Linked DNA regions of Stegostoma tigrinum. The protein of the gene in region 3 interacts with the protein of the main gene of each other region in a pairwise test. Links are inferred from orthologs where the notes say so. Each region holds a gene or a part of one and is shown on either strand. Other genes may lie near its edges.

The links.
Region 1: the proteins of progranulin (region 3) and otx1 interact in binary tests that used the Homo sapiens proteins (3 or more experiments, as listed by UniProt). The two-hybrid records come from large-scale screens. The link is inferred for Stegostoma tigrinum from reciprocal best matches to the Homo sapiens genes GRN and OTX1.
Region 2: the proteins of progranulin (region 3) and fam131c interact in binary tests that used the Homo sapiens proteins (3 or more experiments, as listed by UniProt). The link is inferred for Stegostoma tigrinum from reciprocal best matches to the Homo sapiens genes GRN and FAM131C.
Region 4: the proteins of progranulin (region 3) and c26h22orf39 interact in binary tests that used the Homo sapiens proteins (3 or more experiments, as listed by UniProt). The link is inferred for Stegostoma tigrinum from reciprocal best matches to the Homo sapiens genes GRN and C22orf39.

The regions. Positions count from the first base shown.
Region 1 is NC_081362.1:1,438,133-1,446,301, reverse strand, and holds the start of otx1 (homeobox protein OTX1 B), read right to left. Parts: upstream 3,321-8,169; 5' UTR 2,661-3,320; intron 1,580-2,660; 5' UTR 1,445-1,579; intron 1,276-1,444; exon of another isoform or gene 1-1,275. Other genes in the region: ehbp1 (EH domain-binding protein 1), read right to left, coding at 6,576-6,666, 6,872-6,986. UniProt on the Homo sapiens protein: Probably plays a role in the development of the brain and the sense organs. Can bind to the BCD target sequence (BTS): 5'-TCTAATCCC-3'.
Region 2 is NC_081381.1:31,605,055-31,612,999, reverse strand, and holds the start of fam131c (protein FAM131C), read right to left. Parts: upstream 3,200-7,945; 5' UTR 2,841-3,199; coding exon 2,819-2,840; intron 1-2,818.
Region 3 is NC_081384.1:30,757,825-30,765,439, reverse strand, and holds the start of progranulin, read left to right. Parts: upstream 1-4,289; 5' UTR 4,290-4,418; intron 4,419-7,615. UniProt on the Homo sapiens protein: Secreted protein that acts as a key regulator of lysosomal function and as a growth factor involved in inflammation, wound healing and cell proliferation. Regulates protein trafficking to lysosomes, and also the activity of lysosomal enzymes.
Region 4 is NC_081379.1:43,403,088-43,410,693, reverse strand, and holds c26h22orf39 (UPF0545 protein C22orf39 homolog), read right to left. Parts: upstream 3,122-7,606; 5' UTR 3,077-3,121; coding exon 2,996-3,076; intron 2,679-2,995; coding exon 2,511-2,678; intron 1,039-2,510; coding exon 913-1,038; 3' UTR 638-912; downstream 1-637. UniProt on the Homo sapiens protein: Negatively regulates long-term potentiation and modulates adult synaptic plasticity. Stabilizes the interaction of RTN4 isoform A/Nogo-A with its receptors, inhibiting clustering of postsynaptic AMPA receptors at synaptic sites.

The DNA.
Region 1 (8,169 bases), on a different chromosome or scaffold from region 3:
GATAATATTTTTCGGTTCAAGTTTCATTAAACTCGTTTCCATCGTCTGACACTGAAGGACTTTTAGAAAACAGGTAACTATTTCACAATCTGCTAAATCAAAAAAAGGGAAACACTACAAATTCCTTTCAAAAGAGAAAACGCAGCCGCCAATTTAAAAAAAACAATTAGATCGACCCTGAATATTCAATGTTGACATTTCTCAATGAAAGTTGTCCTCCATACGGCGACGATAACATCAGAGCACTTAGCTGAAAAAAAAAATTAACCCGCATTCTCAATCAACAGTTTCCTAACCCAAGTTTCCACCTCCACAGAACCCAGATAAAACCGTGCTCTCATTTAAAAGGCGATAGCCGTGTGCAAATGAAGTCAATTACAATTTAGATTAGACCTCAGGGGACGCAATTTAAAAGGAGGAACCTTATCAGCAAAATAAATGAACAAAAAAAACGAAAAACACGCCTCTCCAATTAGCCGCTAAAGTGGACTCAAGCTTTTCAATCGGCCCTTGGACGCTGCAATTGTAATTTTCAGTGAGAAAATGAAACAAATTAAACGATCCAAGTACTTTAGGAGGAGTCAGGTCAGTTACAAAATTGAATTAGTTAACAACACAAATACAAGGGGGAAAAAAAATTCAAAGTTAGCCATAGAGAGCTGTACTTTAACAGTCACAAGTTAGTTCACAATCTGAGGTCGTTTTCAAACTAGCCCCTTCAAAGAAAAACTCCCTAGCCTCACACTAATTCGTTGAGATTGCTGCCCCCCACCCCCCATGAATAAATACCGCGGAGTCTCACACTCACCTGAGAATATTTTAGACCAGGCCTGGAGTCTAGAACTCAGTAAAACGCAAGCAGGAGCCTGCTGTCTATTCTGTAGCACAACGCGCAACAAGGTTAGGTCGGAGCGGGTGGGACTGAATTCAAACACCCACCACCCCCCTTCCCAAAACAGACCCACCCCAGAAACGAAACAAGCAGCAAAGTGAGAAACTTGCTGCGAGCCTAGAGGCTGGGGAAGCGAAAGTTGCAGGTCGTTCCGTGTTTGTTTGGACCTGACTCAATGGAGAGTTGATCACTGCAGCCTTCTCTAAGAGAGCGCTGCTCTGGCGGAACTGCCCGACAATGATCCGCCCTTCACCAATCACCCGGCGACTTGTTCATGATTGACAGCTCGTCTCCAGGTGACGCCGGAGCACTACTTTCCCAGAGGAGGAATACACTTGCCCATCGCTGGGTAAAAAGCTCCTCTGAAAGTAGTCACAATCTGTCAGCTACATATTTCTGGACAAGCTGCAAAGTTATTCATGAAGAAACCCGAGCGGCCACCACTTAATTACAGCAGGTAATTATTGCTGTGGAAATTCACGCAATACAGCTAGCAGCTTGTTGTGAGACTAAACAATTCAGAGAACATTCATAAAGTCGGTTTTCTGTCACCTCACATCAGTGTAACTGGCACCTATTCAGTATCTGTTTCTCAGCCCGGTGGGATGTGCACCATTATTAGCGAACAAGGCACTGACTTGCGAGAAAATAAACCTGGCTGTCCGCATCATTTTCGTTACGAGTTTCCTGTGATAAATACATGAAATAAAGGAGAAGTATGAACCTCTATTGAGAAATCAGCTGGTTTCCCCCCCCCCCCCCCCCCACCCCCCATGTCCTGTTAAGGTTTCAGCTGAGGATATGTTAAACTTAGTTTCAGGTAAACGAATGTTTTAACCAGGAAATCTCTCTCTTTCGGGCCTTTCCAGCAAATAACAAGGGCCGGAATTTTAATACGGTTGTATTTTCAAGTCGTACTTTTAAAATAATTACTCCTAAAAATGTCGAGGTTTTTTTGTGTTTGAAATTGTACGTTCTCATGAATATTGATGACGGCCTAATCCCCATTTAGTTTTACATTTCGGGATAGTCAGCGTAAACTTTAATGGGACAGACTGCCTTTAATCGAAATTTCTAAAGAAAAAATACGCCGACGCGGGAAATAAATGAATTCGAGAAGGACTGTCGGCTGCTGGTTATCAAAGAAACCACTTTTCAAGCGTCACTTTTCTTTGGTGAACAAATAACATACGGTAACAGAATATCATGGAGGGGCACAGGGTTTCCTTAACTGGTTTTGAAAGGCTCGGTGAGTTCTTCTGAAAACCTTAATAAGGCTTTGGTCACTCTTTTGTTGTTCACAGAAAATCAACTCATTCTAATTGATGCGGGAACTGAAAGCGAGCTAATGTTCAAAGAAACCAACCGCCAGAAGACGAAATTACATTTTTTGCTTTACCGAGCAGCTCATCAAAGGAAGGTTTTACAAGACTTTCCCAATAGTTCACTGAAAGTCATCGACACGAGCACCGTTTCTGACAAAAGAACCAGCGGTCAATTCAATCCCAACTTAGCAAATAATGCACTTTGCTGGAAGTTTTTTTTTGTTTTGGTTTCTTTTTCGCCTGCGTTTGAGAAGTGAAACCTTCAAGGAACATAATTTTGCACCGAGGCAGGCTATTTCCATGATAATAATAAGATCTCGTTACCATGAGCAAGAAAGACGCAACCGACTGTTCGAAATAATTAGAAATTGTTCGGGATTAACATCAGTATTTGCTAAACGTAAAAAAAAGCTAATGCCTTCGGAAAAAAAATAAGATCGTACCTCACATGAACATTGTTAATTCATTCTGTACACGGCTTGCACAGTTTCGCACTGTTTCCTATTGTTCAGTTGTTGATAACTGAGGTATACTCTCTACCTTTCTGTTAGACTATTTGGCTAACCATATTCGCAGCTGGGATTGAACTGTTCTGTACATAAACCTTCGGTTGTACTGCTCTGTTTAAATCATACTTAAAAGATGTACATTTTAAAAATCCTGCCTTTTAACCAGCATTAAGGAAACGAAACATCCTGCTAATTTGTCTGATGAAACACAATCGAGTTTACTTCTGGAGCAATCCCAGGGATTTACTGATTGTTTTTATTGTGTGAAGTCTCTGTTTAAGATGCGCTGATCAAGCCTGTGTTAAGTATTATAGTATCAAGTAGCACTAACCTTTGTAAGAAGAGTATTTGTCTAATCCGAAATTGCAGGCGAATTTTCTTAAAGCCGAGCCTGAAACCCTGGGTTGGGGAAGGGGGGAGGGAGAGACAGGGAGAGGGACAGATGTGCGTTATTGCATCAAAAGGTAGAAGTCAGAGATTGCGGAAGATTTGGTACAGACAAAACTAAGAATGTGGTGTAACGTGGCACTGGAGCGGCACGGCGGGCCGATTATAACGGCCACACTTGGTTTAACTTGCTTTACACAGGGATGGGATAGTGTAGGGATAGGGATAAAACTGGGATAGTGTAACTGGCTCGGTGGAAAAGGTGGTGGGGGGGGGGGGGGGGAATTGAAATCCCAGTGATCATCACCTGCAGCCGCATTTAGATACATCCGAGGGGCCAAATGTAAAATTCACAAGAGACTCCTCCAGTCTCGATCGCGACTAAATCCCTTCATCAACTCCTTGTTCACCAGGTGAAGCGCTGAAAAGTTTTCAAACTGCGGCTCCCAGCCTCGTGTTAGCCCTTTCAGAGAGTTTGTCAAATCTGCTGCTTACTGTGGGCGGCCAGGAGCAAACAGGTAAGAACGGAGAGGATGACAACTACTTACAGTCATAATTGTTAAATTCCAGGCGGTGTAGAAATTATAGCCGGGAAGTTAGGAATGATTTAGGAATTTTCCAGCGCTCACGGTGCAATTGGAAGTTTGAATAATTAGCACCAATTGTGTCCAGGATCATGCGTATGTTACGGGCCGCAGCCCCTTTGCTGACATCTCAGTTCAGTCTGTGCACTTTTAACAAAATAAAATTTTTATTTCGGCTCAAACATATTTGGCACGAGGCGTGGACGTCCTTTTAGCTGAAGGTTAGACTTTCTGCAGGTCTGTGTGTCATGTGATAACGATGCTAAACGGTGCCAGTGCAGATTGTTTGATTTTCGACAGTCCCCAAAAGCCTGCTTTTGGACAGACTGAGGTGGCAGGAATGCTACTGATGGGCCAGAACTGTCCTGGAAAACTAGACACAGCAAATGAATTTGAAAGTCGCCGGAATGCGTTGAGTGTTACAGGTTCTGAAGGCGGCGGCTCGAATGGTGTCACAACAGAAATTCCTCATTCAATACATTGACTAAAAGCTCTGCCATCTAAACAGATTGTGTCTGTAAAATTGTCTCTTCCTTGTGCTAATCTCCCTCCAAAGTAATTAATAGTCCCCACTAACAAATTAAAAAGATACTGTCCACACTAGCCGCGGGAAGGATGGTAATGTCCGACATTGTCTCAAAATGAGTTAAAAAAACAGTAATGGGATTCACTTAGAAGCGACTTTAAAAGATTTGCTTCTCCAGTTGAAGACATTGATGTGTGATGTTACAAAGTTAATGGCTAGCGGCCGGTTTCACCTCTTTGCTGCAATGACTTCACAGAAAAATCATTTCAAAGTTACACAACCACAGAAAATCCGAAATGTTTTGCGCCGATGAAACCGAAACGAACAGTGTAATAATTTGGAATGTGCAAAGGGAGTTCAGCTCCTAACGGCTACGAGCTCTAGTTGATGTGATTGGCGTCGTGTAAGAAATGTATCCTATCAAATTATTTTAGGAACGAGCCTCAAACAGAAAATGTCCTTTCAATATTTCCGTGACACCGCGGAAACAACATCAAGACGCGCACTTTAAACTTTAGCTTCGTGCCTGGTGCGTTTCCTGGTTGACAGCTGCAGGGTTTGAGAATGAGAGACATCAGGTTCATTTAGAAATGTTTACAGAAAGGGGTATATCGGCCGTTGATCGAGCTGTTCAGTTCAGCTTCGAATATTTATTAGTTCATTACAAAAACACATCATCTGTTTAATTGTTTGAAAGATGTCGATATTAGAGCAATATTTTTTAAAAAAGTCGATTGAAATGACTGCAATCGGCGGCTATTGCAGAAATTAAAACATGAGAGTACAGTCACCGCAGATGGGCCCCACACGTGAGGAATCTGCAGGGCAGGGAATGAAAAAAAAACAGGAAAAAGGGGCAGAAACCCAGCCAGGTGCAGCTAGAAAACTAACCTCGGGGTTTTGGTTGGGATTTTGAACAAAGATTTGGATTTTCAACTTTGATTTTGATTTCAGACGGTCGGGAGGAGTTCCCGGGAAAACTGCTGTAGGAGACGCTTTACAGGTATCTTTTCTGACTTTGCTGTGCGCCTGCTTCAGCCTGGGCATGGAGCTTTTACCCACCAGGATGGAATTGCTGACGTGCAATCGTTAAAAAACTTAAACCGGTTTGGTTGTAGCGAAGGAAAACTTTTATTTATGCATTAAACAATTCCAATTTAAAGTAAATCGCTCCCCAATCGAAGTCATTTATGTAAATAACTCAAATTTAGAAGTCGCAAGTCTGTATGAACATGATTAGGCTAAAGCATCAACAACAGATTCTGTCCACATAAAACGCTTCAAAGTTCACTTTTTATTCAAGATTCAGAGGCGGTCCTGGAATAAATAAACAGAAATATTTCTTCCCCCAAGCAGCAGTTTTATTGACGGTAGGTTGGTGCAGAGAAACGTGTTGAAAATGATTCCGATCTTCTAGAGAACTGCTTTTGCTTTCGGAAGACAAATAACAAGCATTTTCGAGCCAAACAAAAACGTTTTAGCAAAATACCTGGAGCTTAAACAAGCAGCTCGCGCTGTTCCGGGTAATAAATACATAGAAAACACCAGAGAACGAACTGACCGCACCAACCGGGTGCAAAGTCATCAGCCCTTTTCTGAGTTTAAACTAAAACTAACTTCAGATAATATCATTTACAACATAGCCGCTCTGTAAAAGCCAACTATTTATATTTTAAAAAAAACCGGACTTTACAGCTCCAATGAAACGTTCCAATATTCAATGGAAATAAACCTAGATATTGAAAATGCAGCAACTAGCAAGCTCAAACATTCCGGTTTAGAGATTGTTTCTTGAAGATGTTTCACTTTTTGACAACTGATGGCGATCAATTTATTCAAAGGTGCACCCAGAGGCTGGAGTTCCGCAGTTTCTGTAAAACAGTAACGTTCAGAAGCCGGTAACCACCGCCAACCTCCCCGGTCACAGTATCAAATCTGATCCAACATCCATTTGAGGCAGATCAGTGCGGCGCACAGAAAGCCGTCTCAGTGTTAATAAGAAACAATCAGGAACTGTCCTGCTACATTTCGCAACTATTTGGTGTTTTTCCTATCCTCCTTAATGAGCAGGGAATTCTTCCCAAATGTAACTGATAAAACATTAAATGTCACCGTTACAAATAAAACAATTACACGCGGCTTTTTTTTTTACAAAATACACTTTCATAAAAACGACAGATGCAGCCATATGACGGACCTGCGGCCTTAGGACGATTAAATGCTCTGACAGAAAAAAAATACAACAGTTTACAATCTAATTGAAACATGATATCATTCAAATCCATCACATAGTTTATTAAAATGAGAGTGAAAGTGTGTGTAAATGATGGGAGATCTTCTAGTGCATCTCTCTCACTGAATGAGACACTTATCTTCTTTCTTTACAATTTTCCCTTTGTTTTGTTCGAGCGTTCGTTCCAAATGTTCATCTTCTTCTTCCGCCCTGGAACACACAAACAGGCTTCATTAGGGACTGGGGCAGCACCAAGAGACCTGACTCTTGAAGAATGCAACATTCAAAAACTAAAGCTAGATTGGATAGGATCGAATACTGAATACATTCAACCCGGAAAGTTGGAGGATAACGTGCAGGCGAAAGGCTCGGTTTTCATTCCCACCAAGTAACTTTTCTTAATTTAGTAACTTACTGTTTTTCCTGTGCATCTAAATCTCGGACAAGCGCGTCCCGTTTGTTAACCAGAATAACTAGTTCATCTAGTAAGAGCTGCTCACGTCTTTTCTGAGCTTCTGTTTTCTGCCAGTCTGAAAAACACAATAGAAACCAGTTACTCTCCATTTTTTTTAGCTCCTCTGCCAGCTAAAGCCCAACCAGATCCCGATTCCAGATACCAACCTAATCCGATCTCAGATATCAACCCAACCTGATCCCAGATACCAACCTAACTTGATCCTGATCCCAGATTCCAACCTAATCCGATCCCAGATACCAACCCAACCAGATCCTGATACCAGATACCAACCTAATCTAATCCCAGATATCAACGCAACCTGATCCCAGATACCAACCTAATCCGATCTCAGGTATCAACCCAACCTGATCCCAGATACCAACCCAACCCGATCCTGATCCCAGATTCCAACCCGAGCCAGGATACCAACGCGATTCTGATTCCAGATACCAACCCAACCCGATCCGATCCCAGATACCAACCCAACCAGATCCTGATCCCAGATACCAACCCAACCAGATCCTGATCCCAGATACCAACCCAATCCCAATCCCAGATACCAACCCAACCCCACCCCAGATACCAAACTGATTGTGAAGTTGACCACATTAACAGGCAATATATTGGATGTTTGGATACAAAATTAAAAATACGTACAACAACCAAAAATGCAGACATTGACAATCACTCACGGGAAACCAAGAGCTAGCTCTTTGCAGATTCTGTTGGTTATTTGGCATCAAAGTTAATCAGAGTTGAATGTATGCCCCTGGCCCCTCCAGGCTGCTGGGGCAGGGAGGGTGGTTAGAGACAGTGGCCTCTTGGCTTTATTTGTGGTACCGGTCGCTGGCCAACAGTGAATTTCAGCTCTTTGCGCTTTTTTTTTCAGTTCAATGGAAGGGATGGGGGCAGGTGTGAGGGATGGGTTTGAGGAATGAGATGAAGAGGTGAGTGAGATGGGGGGAGTGAGGTGTGGAGCGATGGGGAGTGAATTGAGGGGTAGCGTGGGGTGTAGTGAGGTGAGGGGTGGGGTGTGGTGATGATGAGGGGTGGGTGAGGATGAGGGGTGGGGTGGAGTGAGGGGTGGGAGTGAGGTAAGGGGTGGGAGTGAGGTGAGGGGTGGGAGTGTTGAGAGGGGTGGGAGTGTTGAGAGGGGTGGGAGTGATGTGAGGGGTGGGAGTGATGTGAGGGGTGGGAGTGATGTGAGGGGTGGGAGTGATGTGAGGGGTGGGAGTGGGGTGGGCAGGAGTGAGGGG
Region 2 (7,945 bases), on a different chromosome or scaffold from region 3:
AGAATTCTCAATGTCTAGCTTGTTTTGTAGTTTCGGTTAAACGGCAGACTGACAATTAGTGAGGTGGATTATAGTTCACTCCGTCTCTTACCTACATCCTATTTACTCCTCCCCACTCCTTTACTCCTCCCTCTGCTCACTATCCTTACCTCCTGTACCCCCATCTCTCCCTCTCCGTACACATTTCTCTCTCCCTCTATTCTCACTCGCTCACTCTTCCTGCCCTTCCCTATCTCTACCTTCTCCCTCTTCAACTCATTTCAATCACAGATTAATTACCCTTTGTTTTACTGACTCTTGCAGCTTTAAATTTTCTCCCTTCCTGTTCCCAGACTTTGCTGAAAAGGTTCATTTAGTCGAAGATATTCATCTTGTACTCATCAATTCAATTCAAGGAGAAAACCAGTATTAATACTGCTTGAGAGGAGAGTGCTGATTGGGCTTTGCCTGGTCCAAGCATTGCCTTGAAAATGCACCCAGTACATGCTGATTGACAGTTAACAGCCAAGCTTTGTTTAAAATGTAAACAAGACCACCTCATGCAGGCATGTGTACATACTACACTTGTTTCTAGTCAATAAAGTAGGTCACAGCCATTCACTTGTTTATTTCTCAGAGCAATGCCCTAACCAGTCAAAGCCAACTATCCAGTTTCATAGAATCCCAATGTTGTGGAAGCAGGCCATTCAGCCCATCAAGTCCCACCAACCTTTGAAGAGCATCCCACCCAGTCCCACTTCTCTGCCCTATCCCCGTAACCCCATATTTCCTATGGCTAATCCACCTAGTCTGCACATTCCTATACATTATGGGTAATTTTAGCATGGCCAATCCACTTAACTTGTACAACTTTGGACTGTGGGAGGAAACCAATGCAGACACGGGGAAAACGTGCAAACTCCACACAGATAGTCACCCGAGGGTGGGATTGACCCCAAGTCCCTCGCATTGTGAGGCAGCAGTGCTAACCATTGAGTCACCATGCTGTGCCATGCTAAAATGTAATCAAAGCCTGGTTGTTAACTGCCAATCAGCATTAATGCTTATACTCTCCATGGCAAGTCTTTACCAATCAGACACCACTTACTAACCAATCAGCATTCTCGTCTCATGCAGTGTGAACGTTGGCTTTCCCACCAATACAAAAAGCTCTGCATTATCAAACAAATAAGAACTTCCAATAGCTGCCAATATGAACAATGAATAATGCAGAAGGCATGAATTCAGATATCATGGGGGAAATCTGAACATTTCGGAACATAGGAACAGGATTGGGCCATTCAGCCCATCAAACGTGGTCTAATGTTCTATGGGATCATGGCTGATCTGTAGCCGAACTCTATATCTTGCCTTTGACCCATATCCCTTAATGTCTTTGCTTAACAAATACTTATCTATCTCACATTTAAAACTAACAATGGATTCAGCATCCACTGCCATTAATGGAAAACAGTTCCAAACATCTACCAGCTTTTGTGTGTCAAAGTGCTTCCTACCATCTCTCCTGAACAGGTCCAGCCCTAATTCTTAGATTATACCACCTAGATCTAGAATCCCCAACCAGTGGAAATAATTTACCTTCATCTATACTGTCTTTTCCTGATAATATCTTGAGCACTTTGATCAGATCACCCCTTCTCCTTCTAAAAATTTGAGAAAATAGGCCTAATTTGTATAACTTCATCCATAACTTAACCCCCTGAAGCCCTGGCATCATTCTGTAAACTTACTTTGTATTCACCCAAGGCCAATATACTGTTTCAAAGTGTGGTGCCGGAATCTGCTCACAATATTTCATGTGGGGTCTACCAAGGTTTTTGTATAACTGCAGCATAACTTCTGCACCTTTGTATTCCAGTCCTCTAGATAAAATGGCCAGCATTACATTAGCTTTCTTCATTATTTTCTCCACTTGTTCATGACATTTTAAAGATCTATGCACCTGAAATGTTCAAGTCACTTTAGACATTCACTTCACTTTGTAGTTTGAGTTTAGTTTATAAAATCTGGGCTTAAATACATTGTATCTGTAAAAGCAAATACAAATTTTTCAGAGATAGTAGGAACTGTTGATGCTGGGGTCTGAGATAACAAGGTGTGGTTGAACACAGCAGGCCAGGCAGCATCAGAGGAACAGGAGAGCTGATGTTATGGGTCTGGACCTTCCTTCAAAAAAAAATTTGTCAGGCCGTTATAAAATTAAACTTGTTCACTCATGTCCCATAAGGGAGCAGACCTGTTGTCTGCGTGACTGCAGTCTCACCTTGGCTGTTCAAAATCCTACAGACTAGCAAGCTGCTAAATCACATCAAATTGCTTGCCTTACAGAAATCAGAGATGGGTCATAAATGCCAGGCATGCCAGCTGCTGATGGTGATTGCTGATACACTCCCTTGGCATCACATTTGATTCAGTTATCAAGGACGGTGATAGGATTCACAGCTCTTTGACCACAATGGCAGGAGACTGCAATACCACATATTTCAAAAGCCCAGCACAGAAAACGTGACCGTCCTTTTCTAGAATATTCTGATAAACCTGCCCTGTGCGTAACATTAGGCATCCTTGCCTTATTGCTCTGTGCTCAGTGCATTTCTCAAACAAAGCCCTGATACTGGCAGTGAGGTCCTGGTCCATTGATACGTGTAACCATAGTAACACCAAACCAGATTGATCTAATCCACCATATAGCACAGCGTCGCCTTGCAATTTCAGGACAGCTATTTAACACCACAGCTAGAGGGATGAATGCATGCAGACAACAAGAGGTGTAGTCTGATTCGAGTGTAAGTGGTTATTTTTCACAATGCAGACTCACCTCTGGAAATGCAGCAACCCATAATAAGCAGTGAAGGCAGGAGCACGGGCTATCCTCTGCTATCTTTAAAAAAATGCAACATATCGGGGTGTTTCTTTTTTCGGATTGTACGGTCTTGCCCAGAGTACCTGAACACAATGCTTGCTGAGGCAGCTGGTTTTGACGTCGATGGCATCAATCTCAGAGGGCCATCTCTGCACTCCTGAGCCGAACCGAAACCAGAGAAACACACAGCCACAAACATACAGGGACAGGAACACCAAGCTGTCACTCTTGCTGCAGCCAGGAATTAACCCCTTCACCACCAGGCCCTTGGCTGGATCTAGTTCTTGTTTGTATTGACTATCATCCTCATTGATTCATAAACCAACCTGTTGCGACACATTTTCCAGCAGTCAGATTGGTTGGGTCAGCAGGATGATAATGGCATAACCCTAACAAAACAACCATCAATTCAATAATTGCCTTTGAAAAGTGCCCCCTTGCTCCTCTAAAAAAGATGTGAGGTGAAGCTACTGCACTAGAAGCTGAAGGAAAATCACATCCTGGGGATGGAATGTCTTAGAAAATGTCTGTCCGCCTTCTCTTACCAGTCAACAGCATTACCATCACGAATCGGTGATCATTAATATCTTGGGGTCACCACTGATCAATCGAGTAAATACTGTGGCTGCAGAAGCAGGTCAGGAACTGGGATTCTGCAGCAAATGCTTGACATCTCTCTGCCGTTGACAAACAGCGATTGGCTAATAAACGCTGGTCTTGCTGTTGATGCTGCAACTCGTGTGAACAAATAAAACAAAATTGCATTTCTCTAGCACTTTTCACAAGCTCAGGATGTCCCCTCATGCTTTTGTAGCCAATGAAATACTTTGGAAAGGTAGTCTGCAGTTGTAATGTAGGAAATGTGGCAGTCAATTGTCACACAACAAGCACCCCAAAACAGCAACATGTTCATGACTAAAATGACCCGGTTTTGTTAAAAGGGTTTTCTCTCTGAATAGAGCAGCACAGGATGGCTTTTGGAATTCAACTGGTGGATTGGAGCTGCTGCACACCTTGGTCAAGTAAATGAGCCAAGACCCTAAGCTTCAGGAACAATAGAAATTCCACTTACCTTGTGCCCGCCATAACCTCAAACCAGTTGTAACTACAACCAATCAAATACTTGAGTTCAGTTGACTTTGACTGCGCCGAAACATGTCATTTTGTGTTCAACAAGATCCTGCAAATAGAGATTGGATAATTCATCGTACGATCTGCTGATTTTATTTTTAGCAGTGTTGGTTGAGGGATCGGTTTGGGCCAAAACACCAGGTGAACTCTGCTGGCATTCACGCAGCAATGGCATGGGGTCTTTGACTAAACCAGCCGAAGAATTAACTGGGCATAATTTCTCACCTGGAGTCACTGGGTTCTATATTGGCGCCTGCCCAGACCTGTGGCTGAGGTGACATCCCTGCGTTACTAACCTGAGCCACATGTAAATTGCTGCATAGTAAATAAGATTAGGGAAGTAATTGCTTGGTTCAACTTCTGATGTGGTAGAAGTGGCTCCCAGTTTGTCTGTCATTGGCAGCACTAATGGGGAAAGTGGGCTGTACTGTTGGGATGTTCTACAGCCAAACTCTAGAACTCAAACTAGCAAACCACTTAACTTCAGAAGTAGTGCACAAGTGGGAGCGCAAGACCAGGAATAACACCTTAAATAAGAGTGATTGCGAGTGCACAAAAGCAGTGCTAGCTAAAGTCAAAGAGCGAATTAAATTAAAGGATAAGTCAATAAAGATGCAGCGGCAGATATTTAAAGGGATAGTACAGGATAGGTGCACTCCAGTGAGCGAGAACAATCCCAACGGGAGGAGAAAGTATCTGCAGTTAACTTGAACAGGTAAAGAAAATATTAAATTGACAGGAAAAGCATTTAGTTGCACAAAGTTGGCTGGCATTTCTGAAGATTAGACATGATGCTTTAAAAAAAGCAAAGAATGACAAAAAGATTAACAAAGGTGGGAAAATTACAGCACAAGAGTAAGCTAGCTAGAAATATTAAAAACAGATAGTAATAGTTTTTATAAGTGTTCACAAAAGGAAAGAGTTAACAAAGTGAGCATTGGCGGCATAGAAAGTGAGTCTGGGAATTAATAATGGAAAATAAGGAGATGGCAGGTGAATTGAGTAAGTATTTTTCATCGGTCTTCACTATGAAGAATGTAAGTAACATCCTAGAAATAGCAGTAAGCCAGAAACTGCAAGGAAAGGAGCAACTCAAGGGAGTTACAATCAAATTTAACAATATGGAAGTGATACTGAGCAAACTATTGGAGCTGCGAACTGACAAAAAATCCCCAGGTCCTAGTGGACTTCATCCTGTGGGGATAAAAGAAGTTGCTCGTGAGATATTTGATGTTGGTTTTTATTTTGCAAGTTCCTTGAGATTTGCAGAAGGTCCCACTAGATTGAAAAATACTGAACATAGCTTCTTTATTCAAAAAGTTGAGACAGAATTATGCTGACTGCAGGCCAGTTAGTCTGTCATAGAGGAAATGTTAGAATTTATGATTAAAGACTTTGTAGTAGGGCGCTTTAAAAAGTCAATGTAGTCAGGTAGAATCAACAAAATTTTATGTAAGAGAAGAGATGGTAGGAACTGCCGACGCTGGAGAATCTGAGATAACAAGGTGTGGAGCTGGATGAACACAGCAGGCCAAGCAGCATCAGAGGAACAGGAAAGCTAATGTTTCGGGTCTGAAGAAGGGTCCAGGCCTGAAACGTCAGCCTTCTGTTCCTCTGATGCTGCTTGGCCCGCCGTGCTCATCCAGCTTTACGCCTTGTTATCTTTTATGAAAGAGAAGTCAGGCATGGGCTTGTGACTGGCGAGACAGCTGCTGTGCTAACGTAGTTCTGAGATGTACGTGGGTGCACACTGAAGGAATTACCTGGAAAACTGCATTTCCTCGGGGCAAATCCCCTTATGCCTGGGATCCCCTGAAAATCTCACTTTAATTGCAGATTCCAATGGCTCTGACAAAATTAAGTAAAATAATGACTCAGGAAAAGTTAGCCTATCAAATACCTAGTCTAACTTCAGCGTAACTATACTACTCACCCCATACTTAAACACATCTGACCAAGTATACCTCCTCCAGATCTCATACACCCTCCAGACCTTGAATTGATACCCCGTTTGGGACCTGATATCCCACCCCAGGCCCCACCCTTCAGGGAGCTGGACCAGAGCCCTCCCCTCCAGTAAATCCCTAGGATCCAACAACCCTCTCACCCTTGCCCTGGGGATCCAATGCACTCGCCACAACCCAATCCCCACCCTAAACCCCAAACACTCCCTCTGCCAGCTGCAGCCCTGACTCTCATCAGCCTAGACCTAAATCCCAGGTCTAGATCCCAGAAATCCCTCTCCCTCCTTTGGGGCCAGCTTGACCCAGCCTGACTCCGCTACACCAGACCCTGCCAACTTTCCCAGTCCCCGATCCAATGTCCTCCCCTTCTCCCCTGGAAATGCATACCCTGTCCAAGCCCCAGACCCCATTCCACCACTCCAATTCCCTGCTGTTTGACCCAAGCAGACCATCCTGTTTCTGTCCACTCACCAATCCCACCAACTATCTCCGCTCACTGTCAGAGCCACCCTGACTTCCCCACCCCCAGATCGGGGCGGCACGGTGGCTCAGTGGTTAGCACTGTGGGCTCACAGCGTCGGGACCGTGATTCAATTCCAGCCTCGGGCAACTGTCTGTGTGGTGTTTGCGCATTCTCCCTGTGTCTGCGTGGGTTTCCTCCGGGTGCTCCGGTTTCTTCCCACAGTCCAAAGATGGGCAGGCTAGGTGGATTGGCTGTGCGGGGTTGCCCGTAGTGTTCAGGGGTGTGTGGGTTGTGGGAGGATGGGTCTGGGTGGGATGCTCGGGGGTGGGGGGAGCAGTGTGGACTTGTTGGGCCAGGGGGCCTGCTTCCACACTGTAGGGAAATCTAATCTAATCATCTCAACAGCCACTCACCCCACCCTCAGCTAGCCTCGATTTCTCCTCCCCCCCCACCAATACCTGACATTCTCTGGACACAGTATCACTTACCTGGCCCTGTACTCCCTTCCCACGGCATCCATCCATCTGAGACCTTATCCTACGGTACCCTACCTCCAGACAATCTACTCCTTACCCGCCTGCCACCCTCCCCTCCCAACACCCTCATATCCCATTCAGTGAACACAATGAGCCTTTGAGAGCAGCTGTCAAAGTGACTGTCAGGATCTTTAAAGTTTCTGAATATGGGCAGCTGACTGCTGTGAAATGAAGATGTGGTTTGTTTTCCTCTGAGAGGTCTGCGTTAAGAAAGAACTATCGGAATGGAAGTACAGCTTCATGTTTCTGAATGAGACCTGAGGGGAATGTACTCTCAGAAATGCAGAGCTTCCTTGCTTCATAAAAAAGGACAGGTTGGAGGGTAATCTGTGTGAGATTGCCACTCACCAGGAAATCTGGCTCATCAAGCTTGTCCAACCTATTGGAGCACTTAGGGGATGTGTTGTGGATAAAGAAGAATCACTGATATCATAGAGTCATAGAAACATACAGCACAGAAACAGGCCCTTCTATCCAACCAGTCCACACCAAACATAATCCCAAACTAAACTAGTCCCACTGCCTGCTCCTGGCCCATATCCCTCCAAACCTTTCCTATTCATGTACTTATCCAAATACCTTATAAACATCGTAACTTCAATCTTCAGTTTACGTTTTATAAGTGTCACATCAAAGGTTTTTGTGATAAATAAAAGCTCATGATGCAGGTAGCATATTGATCTAGATAGAAGGTTGACTGGCTAACAGGAAAGACCATTGCATGGCTGGTCAACGTTTAGCACAGAGCCTCATCTCTTCTAAACTGAGTTTGTCCTGCGAGAAAAACAAATACAACAAATACCACAAAATGATAGTAAGAACTGCTGATGCTAGAGTCAGAGATAACACAGTGTGGAGCTGGAGGAACACAGCAGGCCAGGCAGCATCAGAGGAACAGGAAAGCTGTCGTTTCGGGTCGGGGTCCTTCTTCGGAAATTTCAGCTTTCATCAGCCTTTTTTTCTCCCCGATGCTGTCTGATGTGCTGTG
Region 3 (7,615 bases):
GAGGAAGGGATGGGTGAGTGGAAGAACAGGTTAGGGAGGCAGAGACAGGCTGGGCTGGTTTTGTGATGCAGTGGTGGGAGGGGACAAGCTGGGCTGGTTTTGTGATGCAGTGGGGGGAGGGGAAGAACTGGGCTGGTTTTGGGATGCAGTGGGGGAAGGGGAGATTTTGAAGCTTGTGAAGTCCACATTGATAGCATTGGGCTGCAGGGTTCCCAAGCGGAATATGAGTTGCTGTTCCTGCAACCTTCGGGTGGCAATGCAGGAGGCCGATGATGGACATGTCATGTGAGGAATGGGAGGGGGAGTTGAAATGGTTTGCGACTGGGAGGTGCAGTTGTTTGTTGCGAACCGAGCGGAGGTGTTCTGCAAAGCAGTCCCCAAGCGTCTGCTTGATTTCCCCAATGGAGAGGAAGCCACACCGGGTGCAATGGATACAGTATATCACATTGGCAGATGTGCAGGTGAACATCTGCTTGATATGGAAAGTCATCTTGGGGCCTGGGATGGTGGTGAGGGAGGAGGTGAGGGGGTTCTTCCTCTCACCCATCCCTTCCTCCCACCTCAAGCCGCACCTCCATTTCCTACCTACCACCTCATCCCGCCTCCTTGACCTGTCCGTCTTCCCTGGACTGACCTATCACCTCTCGACCTCCTCACCTATACTCTCCTCTCTACCTATCTTGTTTTCTCTCCATCTTCGGTCCGCTTCCCCCTCTATTTATTCCAGTTCCCTCTCCCCATCCCCCTCTCTGATGAAGGTTCAGGCCCGAAATGTCAGCTTTTGTGCTCCTGAGATGCTGCTTGGCCTGCTGTGTTCATCCAGCTCCACACTTTTATCTTGTGTATGAAATTTTGTTTTCCTGAGGTAAGCCTTCATCTTTCCCAGTAACTGTTGCAGTGTAATTGCAGATCTTTAGGCTTTAATTCTAGTCTTCCCAAGAAGGGAAGTATCAGCCCCCTTGCTATCAAGACCCCTCAACATCTTGAAATTATCCCTCACTATTCTGAACTCTAATGGATGCAGACCTAACGTGTCCTGATGAGACCTCTGCTCACTGTCACTATCGCAATCTGCATTTGAAAACTTTCTCCTTAAAACTGTTAGTGAATTGTCATTGAGGGCGAGTTCTGGGGAACAGAAGTCTGTTTCTCACTGCAGATGCTTCTGGACCAACTGTGTATTTCTAATAACTGCAGTTTTTATTTCAGTGCGATGTTCCTGGGTTAGGTGTCTATGGATGCAAATCTCTGAAAGTTGTTGAACAGGGGCAAAAGTGACCAAAAAGTCTAAGGGCCTTTTTCTTGAATGGAATGGAATTCAAAAGTGAGGAGATGTTTCTTCACTTTTATGTTTGGTTTAGTTGTCAATGCAATTTCTATGCCAGAAAATGCTGTAAATACACAATATCTTACAAAGTGAGGAAGAGATGACAAATGCCTCAAATAAGAGTTCTCTGACTCAGGGTTTGCCCTGAAATATTGTCTTGTCGTCTCAGATGCTGGTAAACTTGCTGTTAAATTTTAGCATTTTCTGCTTTTTAAACAGTGGAACATCCATTTTGTTGGAATTTCAAATAATTACATATCTGTCATTGGTTTGAACCTGTGTGAAGCATTAAGAACAACATACCAATAATAAATGAAGTTGTATTATGGATTCTTAAAGCCTCATTTAAGGGGAGTAAGATTTATTTCAAGATTTACTATCCAGGACTCCAAGAATTCTTTACACTTCCCATGCTACTTCTACACACAAACTAATGGGGTTAACTTTGCTTGGCTGATATCACTTATTAACTGATTTTGTTCTGTGAATGATCAATATCTAAACACATGAATTGGTATGTTGTGATCCACTCTATTAACTTTGTAACAGATTAATTTTCGCCAGCAGTAACATCGGGTCACAAATGAACTGAAATGTGGGATCATATAAATCAGTTTATCTCTTATATAAAATGTTTCATATCTGGCTCTCTGTTGAGGTGTACTGCCTGTCTAATTTTTTAGTTTCTGTCTTGGCATTAATTTTCTTTTTTACTGTTGTGGCATTCTCGTTTTCTGAGATTACTTGAGCATGTAGTGTGCTAATTAAGCAAAATGGATGCAAATTGTCCCATTGAAAACACCCAGCATGGCTTCACAAGAGGTAGGCCATGTTTAACTAATTTGGTGGAATTCTTTGAGGATATTACTTGCATGGTGGACAATGGGGAACCTGTGGATGTGGTGTATCTAGATTTCCAGAAGGCATTTAATAAGGTGCCACACCAAAGGCTGCTACATAAGATGAAGTTCCGCGGTATTACAGGTAATATATTGGCATGGATAGAGGATTGGTTGACCAATAGAAAGCAAAGAGTAGGGGTAAACGTGTGTTTTTCTGGTTGGCAGTCAGTGGCTAGTAGTGTGCCTCAGGGGATCAGTGTTGGGACCTCACTTGTTTACAATTTACATAGATGATTTGGAGTTGGGGACTAAGTGTGGTGTGTCAAAATTTGTAGATGACATTAACGTCAGTGACAGAGCAAAGTGTGCAGAAGACGTTGAAAGTCTGCAGTGGGATATAGATAGTCTAAGTGAATCGGAAAAGGTCTGGCAGATGGAGTACAATGTTGATAAATGTGAGGTCATCCATTTTGGTAGGAATAACAGCAAAATGGACTGTTTTAAATGGGAGGGGAAAAAAAGTAGCACACTGCTGTGCAGAGGGACTTGGGCGTCCTTGTGCATGTAATGCTGAAGGTGGGATTGCAGGTGCATTAGGTGATTAAAGAGGCAAATGGCATTTTATCTGCCATTGCTCGAGGGATGGAGTTTAAAAACAGAGGCGCTATGGTGCAGATGTATAGGGTCCTGGTGAGGCCACACCTGGAGTACTGTGTGCAGTTTTGGTCTCCTTACTTGAGAAGAGATATACTAGCATTGGAGAGGGTGCAGAGGAGATTCACTTGATTGATTCCAGAGTTGAGAGGGTTGGATTATGAGGAGAGACTGAGTAGACTGAGCATATACTCATCGGAATTCAGAAGAATGAGGGGAAATGTATAAGATTACGAAGGGAATAGACAAGGTGGAGGCAGGGCGGTTGTTTTCACTAGCAGGTAAAATTAGGACTGGGGGGCATCGCCTCAAAATAAAGGGAAGCAGATGTAGGACTGAGGTCAGGAGGAACTTCTTCACCTAAAGGGTTGTGAATCTGTGGAATTCCCTGCCAAGTGAAGTGGTTCAAGTTACCTCGCTGTATGTTTTTAAGGCAAGGCTAGATAAATTTCTGAACAGTAAAGGAATGAAAAGTTACAGTGAGTGGGCAGGTAAGTGAAGCTGAGTCTCAAAAACCAGCCATGATCTTATTAAATGGCAGGGCAGTCTCGAGGGGCCAGATGGCCTACTCCTGCTCCTCGTTCTTATGTTCTTATGAATGATGGTTTCTGTAAATATTTGTACAGTTAATAGATCTTATCCATTCGAAGGTAGATTGTGCTTTGTAGGGAACCATGCCCTAGTTATTAAATTTTTTATACTGGAAGATTCAAAAGTGGAACTGGGAGTGTGCAAATGCACGTGCAATTCAGAGGTAAAATATGCAGCAGTACTGTAATCGTAACAAACTCGAGTTTATTTGGAATTATTTGCTGAAGCGGCAACATGTTTTGTCTCTGTGGATTGCCTTGATGCATCACCTAATTGTGTAGATTGGTTCATGAACATGTTCGAAATCCTGGGCAGCAAAAAACAGAAGTTGCTGGAAAAGCTCTCAAGTCTGGCAGCATCTGTGAAAAAAAAATCAGAGTTAATATTTTGAGTCAGGTGTCCCTTCTTCAGAGCTTTGAGGAAGGGTTACCAGACTCGAAATGTTAACTCTTGAGTTTTTTTCTTCATAGATGCTGCCAGACCCTTTGAGCTTTACCAGCCAACTTCTGTTTTTGTTCCTGTTTTACAGCATCTGCAGTTCTTTTTTGTTTTTATTTGAAATCATGGGGACTGATAACTTCTAATTAATCTAAAAGTTTCAAAAAAGACTTAAACTGGCCTCTCACACATCCTTCTTGTTGGAAGTTATATTCAGTTTTATTTCAAGATGTTGGTTGAGCTATCTGCAATTGCTTTTTTTTGCATGTGAAAACATTCAATTCAAATACATATCCCTCTCAAACTGTTGCTGCATGTTTATTTTGTTTGATTAAAATTCAGATTGACAAACAGGTTGAATTTTTGGCCGGTGGAGCAACTGAAACTCAGCAGAAACTTGACAAAGTTCAAACTGCCCCTATTGTTCTGTCTTGCAGTACAGTACTCATTTCCTCACAGTCACATGATATGTCGTGCTAGAACAAGAGGGAGCTGTCAGACCAGCAGTCCAGTTCTTCACCGTTGTGTCTAAGATCAGTTTCCCAGAGTGAAAGCTGGAGTGTCAGGTATTTTCAGTTTTACATCTTTTCAAATTGAACTAACCAGCAGCTGAATCATTTGAGTGTAGATGAGATTGTGTACTTACTTCAAGCAAACCAGAATAGTAACTCTCCTGTTCACCAGTTAGTTGCGATTCCCTTGCTGAATTGTGTTGAAACTGTGTGTTGTTAATATTGTGGATTTCTGAGGGGTTAACCTGTTAGTCTTTGCTGGGCAGTGAATTCTGTAAATTACTCCTTGGGACTAACATCAGTTGCTTTTTTTTGTTTTAAAAATAAGAACATGTACAATCATATGTAAGTAGCATTAAAATGCTTGTCAGTAAAGTTAGAAATTCCTTACTGATCACACAGGCAGAAAAGCCATGTAAACATTCCACCCCATGCTAAGTGTATTTGGTAAGAGCTTGTGAATTTCTTTTAAAAGAAGTTGTTTCAGTTTCAAAACTTAGAGCTCCCTCGCAATCACAGACACGTACTCAGTTGGCATGAATTTGGGAACAGAAAGGAAGTAAAATGCAAGAGAAGTGACCCAAGTACAGCAGATTGTGATAAGGGTGTGCCATGCTATAATTTGCAGAAGCGCTTAATGCATTAAAAGCTGTCATTTGTTCATACCTTACGCACATATTTGGCTTTGTGTTGCCTCTTGTATACAAGTTTCTGGATTGTTATGCGTGCCCATTGTTCGAGCAATATTCTTTAATACCAACTTCACTTTATTTGTAAGCATTTAACTGCAAAGAAATTGTGAAATAATCAAAGCTGGTTACTTCCCTGAATGGCCTGTACTTTTTTGAAATTGGTTTCACTTGAAACCAGCTTTGTTGCAATGCACTTTGATTTTCAAATCCTACAGTTCTACTGTGTGCTGGTTTATTTCCTGGTTAAAACTTTCGTAGCGCAAGCTAATTCAGTCAGTAGTATTGTGTTCCCTTTTGAGACTTGCCATAGAGTCATAGGTTCATACAGCATGGAAACAGACGCTTCAGTCCAGTGTGCCAATCAGACATCCCAATCTGATTTAGTCCCATTGCCATCACTTGTCCATATTCCTCTAAACCTTTCCTATTCGTGTACTCATACAGATGCTTATTAAATGTTGTAATTGTGCCCGCTTCCACCACTTCTTCTGGTTGCTTGTTCCATACATGTACCACCCTCTGCATGAAGAAGTTCCTCCTTGGGTCCTATTTAAATCTTTCCCCTCTCGTCTCAAACTTATGTCATCTAGTTTGGGACTCACCCACCCTGGGAAAAAGACCTTGGCTATTCACCGTATCTATGCTCTTCATGACTTTATAAACATTACCAAGGTCACCCCTGGCCTCTGACACTCAAGGGGTAAAGAGCCGCAGCTTGTTTAGCCTCTCCCTGCAGCGGAAACCCTCCAGTCCCAGAAACATGGTGATAAACTTGAGCAGGTTCAGAAAAGATTTAACACCTTCCTATAGAATGGTGACCAGAATTGAATATAATATTTTAAATGTAGCTTCAGCAATGTCCTGTACAACAGTAACATGATGTTCCAACTCCTGTATTCAATCTACTGAACAATGGAGGCAAGCTTGCCAAACGCTGCCTTCACCACCCTGTCTATCTGTGAATTCAGTTTCAAGGAATCGGGCACCTGCACCCCTAGGTTTCTGTTCAGCATCACTCCCCAGGGCCGTACCATTATCTGTATAAGTCCTACCCTTTTTTGCCTTTATCAAAATGTAATACCTCATGTTTATTTAAGTTAATCTCCATCTTCTACACTGTCTACTGTGGTGTCATCTGCAAACTTCCCTCTGATATTCACATCAAAATCATTTATATAAATAACAAAAAACAGTGGACCCAGCACCGATCTTTGTGGCACACCGCTGACCACATGCCTCCAGCCCAAAAAGCAACTTTCTATCACCACCCTCTGTTTCCTACCTTCAAGCCAATTTTGAATCCAATTGACTAGCACCCCATGGATCCTATGTGATCTAAACTTAGTAAAAGTCTCATAACTTTTATGAGCGATATCATACTTTAACATTGAAATACTTGAGTACTGTACGATTTCTAGAAAACAAATTAGATACAGCTGGAATAAGATCTGATGCAGCCTTAAGAGAAGTATTGCTGTTTGTCAGGTAGATGGCGTTTATGGTGGAACTGTGTTAAAAATGTTGATTAAAAGACTGGCATTTATATGGCGCAGTTCAAACTTTTGAATGCTTCATATAGCTTTATGACCAGTTAAGTAACTGCAAAATGCAGTAACTGTAAGTGAACAGCTAATTTGTGAACAACAGTGAACTAAACAGTAACTGGCAGGCATTTAGTACCCCTAAAGTGAAAGGGCCCATGGCTTTTTGTGCGTTATTGAACTAAATTCAACATCTAGCAGCATGGAGATATTAGGAAAGGTGATCATAGCTCATGAAAGAGGTAATTTTAAAATGGAAAGAAGTGGGGAGACAGAGGATAAGGAAGTCAACAACCTGTGGTTTGGGTTTGGGCAGCTGAAGAAGCAGCCACCTTACAGGAGTGATGGCAGTTACGACGTATGAGAGAATGAAATTGGGGGAGTGCGGAGATCTCAGAAAGGTGGAATAATATAAAAACAAAAAGAATTTTAGATTTGAGGACCACTAGGACTTGGAGCGGTATAGATCAGCGAGTGAGTGATAACCAGATGTGAGATATATAAGGAGATAGATGAGGCTCTGTTTTACAATCATATCCAAAAGATAAATGTATCACTTCCTCAGTCTTCTGATTCTGAATTGAGAGTCCTGTTGCTGAACTTACAGCTGACACATCTTTACTATAACTGCATCCTGGCTGGCACCTGTTGGGTTTATCTCAACTTAGCTGCTGGCAGTAGCTGTGAGCTTTAGACAGAGGTTTTCATTTTTGTAAAATTGGGATAGACTTTACTTTGTGGCAGATGGATGGTTGTTTTATGTTCATTACAGTTAAAAATATTTCCACTCGAATGAACAGTCTGCAACTTTTCCAAATGTGTTTATCTTAAATGCACAGAAACTTTACATTGGTTCATGTATTTCACTGCTGTGTACTCCAGCAATGCCACGTTATAGCAAACTGTGGAAGCTAGAAGTTGCTGACAGATTTCCACTTTAATAATGATGAGCACTGACTAGCTTGACTGTTCATTCTACTATAGGAAACTTTGGCGAATTGTCTTCAAATAGTCTATT
Region 4 (7,606 bases), on a different chromosome or scaffold from region 3:
AAACAAATATTCATAACTTTATTTGTATATTTATATTTTGATTTTTTTTTTCCTTTATCTACTTTATTTATAAAGTAAAGTAGGTGTCTGGTAAATCTGGGAAGGCAGTGATGTTGTAATGTTATTGGAGTAATAATCCAGGCCTCAGTCTAATGGTCTAGCTTTGTGAGTTTGAACTATGTAACTACTGTCAATTGTCATTAAAAAGACCGGATTCACTAATACCCACTTAGGGCCTACTTTGATTCCACTTCCACAGTGAGGGATTGACTGTCTGGACAATAACTGCTGGCCTAACAGTGCCTCCCATAATTCCGTGAATGAAAAAAATAATGTTCGTATCAGAATGAACACAATAAGGAAAGTATGGTAATGATAATTTCTTCCCTCATACCTACGATAGTTTACAATTTGTGCATGAGCTTAAAAAGCTTCCTCTGTTTAAATTGCTCCCTGTTGATGCAATAACACTACCTCATGTTAGTTCAGGTTATCTCCACCACTTTTTTTTTTAAAAAAGTGAAATCTGGACTGGTGCCCAACTCAAATTAGATCTTAATTTCTTACATAAGTCACTCTAGAACACCCTCTCTAAGCATCTCACAGAGATAAAATAAGCATTCACAAGAGCCTGAAGTTAATGAAATTTACATGCTGGCAGTTTATTTATTGAAAACATCTTTACTGCAGCATAATCATTGAGAGAGTTGTATAACATTCTGATTGCCACCCTCATCTAGTTCCTATCAAAGTGAATCCAGGTTATTTAGTGTTCTCAAGACTCAAACCTGCTTCCATCTGGGTTCCCCTAAAACCAGTTATATAGGTTGCACTGCAGAATGGAGCTGACATGCTCACAAAAGCTGTATTGCATGACTGGCGATTTGTGACTCCAGATGTGATCAACTCCAGCTATTCCTCTTTTTTGTCACTTAGGGGTAGATGCCATTCAGCTGGTGGATTTTTCCTCATCACCCAGATTGGAAAGTGTATCTTTTGTTCTGCTAACCTCTTCTTCTCACTCTCACATAAAGCTATCTGTAAATTTAAAATAAACTTGCAGTTAGATCCACATTAGTAGCTACTTTCGACACAAGTTTTAGCTTTAAGTAAAAAAGATTTATTCATTGACAGTGATGGTGTCACTGGTTACGCATTTATTGCCCATCCCTAATTGCCCAGAAGGCATTCACAGTCAACCACATTGCTGTGGATCTGAAGTCATGTGTAGGCCAGACCAGGTAAGGATGGCAGTTTCCTTCCCTAAATGACATTAGTGAACCAGATGGGTTTTTCCAACAATCAACAATGGATTCATAGTCATCATTAGATTGTTAATTCCAGATATTTTATTGATTTCAAATTCCACCAACTGCCATGGCAGGATTTGAACCCAGGTCTGGGTCTGTGGATGAACAGTCTAGCAATATTAGTACTAGGCCATCACCTTCCTCTGCCAGCATTAACCAAGATCACCTATTTCCACTTCCACAACAGCTTGCCTGTTGCTGAAACCCATATTTACACTTTTCGGTCTAGTATTTTTCAATGAACTCTCGGGATCGCATCCCACATACTACCTTCTGTAAGCTTGATCATCCAAAATGCTGCTAAGCCTGCATTAAACTCATAAATTTAATTTACCTTCCAATGCTTACTGACCTATAACCGATTCCCACTGAAATATCTTAAATTTCAAAATTCTCATGGTTTACAAATCCTCCCGTGGCCCCTCTAAGTCTCCTCTTGTTTCACAACATTCATATTGATCATCTAATTCAAAATGCACATTTCCAATTTTAATAACCCCATGGCATTGTCTTTAACATGTTGTCCTCATTTAAGGCACTCCTTGAACATGCCTCTTTAACCAGGCTTTTGGTCAACACGTAATATTACCATATGGCTCTGTCGTACAACGCTGTGAAACACCTTGGTACGTTTTATTATAGTGAGGATGTTATATAGATTACTTGTTAATTCAAATAAAAGCAAAATACTTTTGGAAATCTGAAGTTTTAAAAGAGTAGTGGAAACTCAGCACATGTCTGGCAGCATCTGTGAAGAGACAAAGAATAACATGCGAGTCCAGTATGACTCTTCATTTGTTGAATATTTTATTAATCAGCATTAAATAGTTATTGTGTAACTAAAGTTTGGGTAGCTGGAACTGTCTTTCTAAAGTTGGGACCAAGGTGCCCAATACCAGTTTTAATCCTCATACTAGCGATTGGCATTTAAGCGTCACAGGTCAAGGTTGAAAAAATGGTGTGAGGCCCTCCAGAGAAACACTCATTGATGAGAGTTTATGCATTTAAAATTATTACTTCAGTTGGATGGCTGGTAGCTGCTTGTACACCGAGCAGAATTCTGCCTTCAGAAGAATACAGCAATGTGACAGAATAAGCAAAATAGGTATGTTCGTAAGTGTGCGTGGTTCTGAACGTTACCAGGATGGTATTTGGCCAAATCCAGTTATATTGCTTGTATAATATTTTCACAAATTTTACCTTAGCTTCGATAGACTTAAAACGTTCCCATTCCATGCAACTGTTGTAATCTTTCTTCCACTGTTTACACGAGGGGAACTTTCCGAATGTGTAATAGTGATGAAAGAGATTTCTCAGACTCCGGCAGTGTTTCCACTCACTCCGATAATCGTCGCACACTCGAGGAGGCTGCAAGGACAAGGTAGGCAGTTTAGATGGCCGGGGCACTTTTACAGACCACCCCATAAACTATTAAGTAAAGGTCATTGCTGCGCCAAGAACCCGAATTAAACTCCCCACAGTAAAATATAGCTGAGCAGTACTGTGTCTGAATGAGCGGAGTCCTGACTTCAGAGAGCAATGAGCGTTTACACAGATCCATTAGAGAAACCAAGTCATTTTAATCTTTGCACTGGATGTCCACCTACTTTCCCATAATAACAGTATGTAAAACTATGGCGAAAAGTGCTCCCAGGAACCTTATCCCAGTCAAGGCCCTTACTCACTCTCCACAGCTCCCCATCCGCCATCCTTCCGCTTTCAAGCTGACAGCGACCGACCAATAATCGTTCCCAGAACGACCCCATGCATGGATGTTTGACCAATAAACGATCAGGCGTGAAACACAACCCCACCCCCAGATGGAGCATTCAGACTCAGGCGTACCGTCGTATATTAATATTCACAAGACGAGCCAGCCAATCAGTGTACTAGCGGGCCGGGGCTTTCTCTTTGGAGACGTCACCGTTCCAGCGAGAGCCGTCAACTAGTCCATTCAAGTCGATGCGGCGAAACGTTAGAAAGTGCAATTAGACATTAAAGAAACATATTGAGGTCAACTATTTCTAAGATTGCGGATAGTTTTGGAAGATGAGATGTTTCGAAAACTAAAGAACTACGGATGCTGTGAATCGGGAGCAAAAACACAAGTTGATAGAAAAGCTCAGTGATAATGGGAACTGCAGATGCTGGAGAATCCGGGATAATAAAGTGTGGAGCTGGATGAACACAGCAGGCCAAGCAGCATCTCAGGAGCATAAAAACTGACGTTTCGGGCCTAGACCCTTCATCAGAAAAGCGGGAGGGGGAGAGGATTCTGAAATACATAGGGAGAAAGGGGGATGCGGACCGACGATGGATAGTGGAGAAGCTAGGTGGAGAGGAATATAGGTAGGGAGGGGATAGGTCAGTGCGGGGAGGACGGACAGGTCAAGGGGGCGGGATGAGGTGAGTAGGAAGGAAATGGAGGTGTGGCTTGAGGTGGGAGGAGCAGATAGGTGAGAGGAAGAACAGGTTAGGGATGCGGGAGGAACTGATTAGTGCCACAATAATCTCCCCTCCCCCTGCTGCATCCCAAAACCAGCGCAGCTCGTCCCCGCCTCCCTAACCTGTTCTTCCTCTTATCTTTCCCCACCTCAAGCTGCACCTCCATTTCCTTCCTACTAACCTCATCCCGCCTCCTTGTCCTGTCCGTCCTCCCCGGACTGACCTAACTCCACCATACCTCCCCACCTACACTCACCTCGACTGGCTCCATCCCCGCCTCTTTAACTTGTCTGTCTCCTCTCCACCTCTCCTCCTCTATCCATCTTCGATCCTCCTCCCCCTCTCTCCCTATTTATTTCAGAACCCTGTCCCCCTCCCCCTTTTCTAATGAAGGGTCCAGGCCTGAAACATCAGCTTTCGTGCTCCTCAGATGTTGCTTGGCCTGCTATGTTCATCCAGCTGTACACTTTGACTCAGAGCCAGGTTGATGTAACAATTTGGTAATGTGGTAGAAACTTGACTGGAAGTTATCTAGCCAGGACGTAACCAGTTTTTCAAAGTTTTTTTTGAGAAGCTTTATAAACAATTGATCTAGCCAAAGAGACAATTGCCACACTGCAAGTCGAATTCAGGAAGGCAGGTGCCCTGTGACACCAACCGCATCAACCACGACAGTACCCTAAAATCGCTGGATCTGTGCCTCATAACCACTGCAACTTCAACGATTGTATATTCAAACAAATCAGCAGAACAACAAAGGGATCTCTGATATCAGGACTGATAGCAGAAACAGTAATGCAAAGATTAGAAATGACAGCGCTTTCCCACTATGCAACCCAAACTCTAGGTCCAATTATGTAGATGACACGTTTGGGATTATCAAATGCACAAGAAGCAGCCCACCAACATACAAACAACATCCTCACTGGATTAAATTTCACAAAAGAAGAGAACAATAACTAACTACCCTTCCTAGATATAATGGTGGAACGCAAGAACAATGGGGAACTCCAGACCGGTGTACATAGAGGACCATACGGACCAGATACTTAATTACACCAACTCCAAACAGCTCCATCAGCAAGGACAACAAACTCAGACCACTGAACCTATGCCTCCCCACATACTTCATCTTTAACTGCCAAATATACAAACAAATCAATGGCAGACCGATGGGGTCACCCACCTCAGGACTTACCGCAGAGGCAGTCATGCAAAGACTGGAACACACTACCCTCCTCCTCATACAGCCAAAACTGTGGATCCGATACATGTTTGTCATCATTAAATGCACCAAATTAGAAGAGACACACCATCTCATCAACAATGTTGTCACTGGGATCAAATTTACGAGAGAAGAGGGGTAGAACAAATGACCAATGGGGAGTTCCAAACCACATAAAAAAGAGAGGAAGGCAACTCACATTGACCAATTCACAATTTCCACAGCAATCACCTCAATGTCCACAAACAAAGCTGTATTAGGACACTATTCAAAAGGACCACAACTCATGCCAGAATTAGCAACTATACAAGGTTTTTGCGAACAACAGATATCCCAACAACTTCATGTGCAGGTGCCTACTGGATAGACAATGCCAAGAGGACAGAGTCTTCCCCAAGACACTGGCCATGCTATCTTACTTCAAGAACATATCAGAACTGACGACAAGACTCCTACGACCACTAGGAATCATGGGAGCACACAAACTCATTGCCACACTACGACAAACACTCAAGGACTAAAGACACTGTACCCATGACATGCAGGACCAAGGTAGTTTACAAAATACCTCGCAATGACTGCAACAAACATTACATCAGCCAGACCAGAAGGAAACCAGCCATCAGGATACACGAACACCAGTTGCAGCAAAACAACACGATGAACTTTCCCCACCAAAGTGCACTCAGACAATGGAGGCCATTAATTTAACTGGGACAATGTGACCATACCAGCTCAAGCCAACCACAGACAAGTGTGGAATTTGTACAGGCCTAGTTTTCAACCTGTAGTGCAATCAACAAACATGTTGAATTAGACCTCATGTACAAACCCATGCAGAGCAGAACTGGAAATGACACAACCCAACTTAACAGACCAGATTACACAAATACTAAGCAGAGTAGAACAATTTCACTTCATCAGAGTCTGCACTGATGATGGGTACCTAGCATGGTGACAAAAGGTCTGTATGATAACCATCCAGCTCAGCGAGTAAGCCAACAAACTCATCCACAACCCAAGCTACAAATCTTCACAAGAACCTTAAACTCAATAACACCAGCAGCCACCCAACACCCATAAATGGAGCTGCATCAGGACATTATTCAAATGGGCCACAACACACTGCAGCAACCTGGAACTATGCAAAGCTGAACAAGAACACTTATACAGAGTTTTTAAAAGGAATGGATACCCAAAAGCACAAACTGCTGTTACATCTGCAACAGACCACAAGAAGAAGACACAACACGGCCAGACACACTAGTCACCCTACCACACATCAGGGACATATCAGAGATGACCATAAGACTACTCAGACTCCTAGGTGTCAGAGTAGCCCACAAACCAACAGCCACCCTATGACAGCTACTGACAGATGTAAAGGATCCTATACCCAAAACCAACAAATCCAACATAGTATATAAAATAAGGACTGAGAGAAACATTAAATAAGCCAAACCAGAAGAAAACTGGCAATAAGGATACATGGACACCAACTAGCCACCAAGAGACATGACTAATTCTCACTGGTCTCAGTACAAAGAAGGACATGAATTTGACTGAGAGAACACATCCATAATAGCTCAAGACAAACACAGACATGACAGAAAATGCCTGGAAGTGTTTGAAGCATTAAAGAGGCTTATTTAAAAGTGCAGGGTTACAGGGAAGAGGCAGAAGAATGGCACAAAGTCATAATAATCACTCAGAGTTTGGTGCATAAACAACAAGAGTAAGCTTATTTAAGAGTATTTGATACCAAGTTTGAAGCAGGAATGTAGGAGAGTAGTTACTGAAGAATTGATGTTTGAGATTGCAGGGAATTGAAGATGAAGAAGAGGGAGGCATGATGACAGGAGAGGTAAAGAACAAAAGGAGAGTAAGAACAAATAGGAGTAATGATCTTGGGTCTGGGAGTAGCAGCCAAAATATAAAAATTAATGTACAGGTGGAATACTATGTTTGGTTACTATTGGTTATGTTGGGACAAGCTAATGCTTTGAAGGCGCAGCAACCTGACTGGAGACATCACAAGGAGGAATATAAAACTAGATATAAAGTCAGAGATTTAATAAAGTTGATTTGGGTTGATTGAAAATAGTAATAAACTGATGATCTGATGCTGAGTTGGGTGAGAGACCTATGAACATTGGGGTGCATATCTTCAAAAAGTGAAATGTACTGTCTGGCTGCGTTGAAATATCAAAAGCTGAGGCCATTCAGCCACCTCAAGCTTGCTCCAGTATTTAATAAGAGCTTCATTAAGCTAACTTTAGCATAAACTCCAATTTCCTGCCTTCCGTCCATGATCCAAAACTTCGTATTAGATCAAAAATCTTTCTCACTCAGTCTTGCAAATAACAATGATCCAGACTCCAACACTCACAGATATAAGAATTCCAAGGCTAACGACCCTTTGAAAGAATAAATTTATCCTTGTTGAAATTTTCTCTCTCTCAATTTACAGCCAAATAATAAGCTGCTTTCCTATTCATGCAACCAAAGTGGATAATCTCACACTTACCAACATTAAACTACATCTGCCATGCATTTGCCCACTCACTCAGCCTACCCAGATCACACTGCAACATTGCTGCATCCTCCTCACAGCTCACCCTTCCAC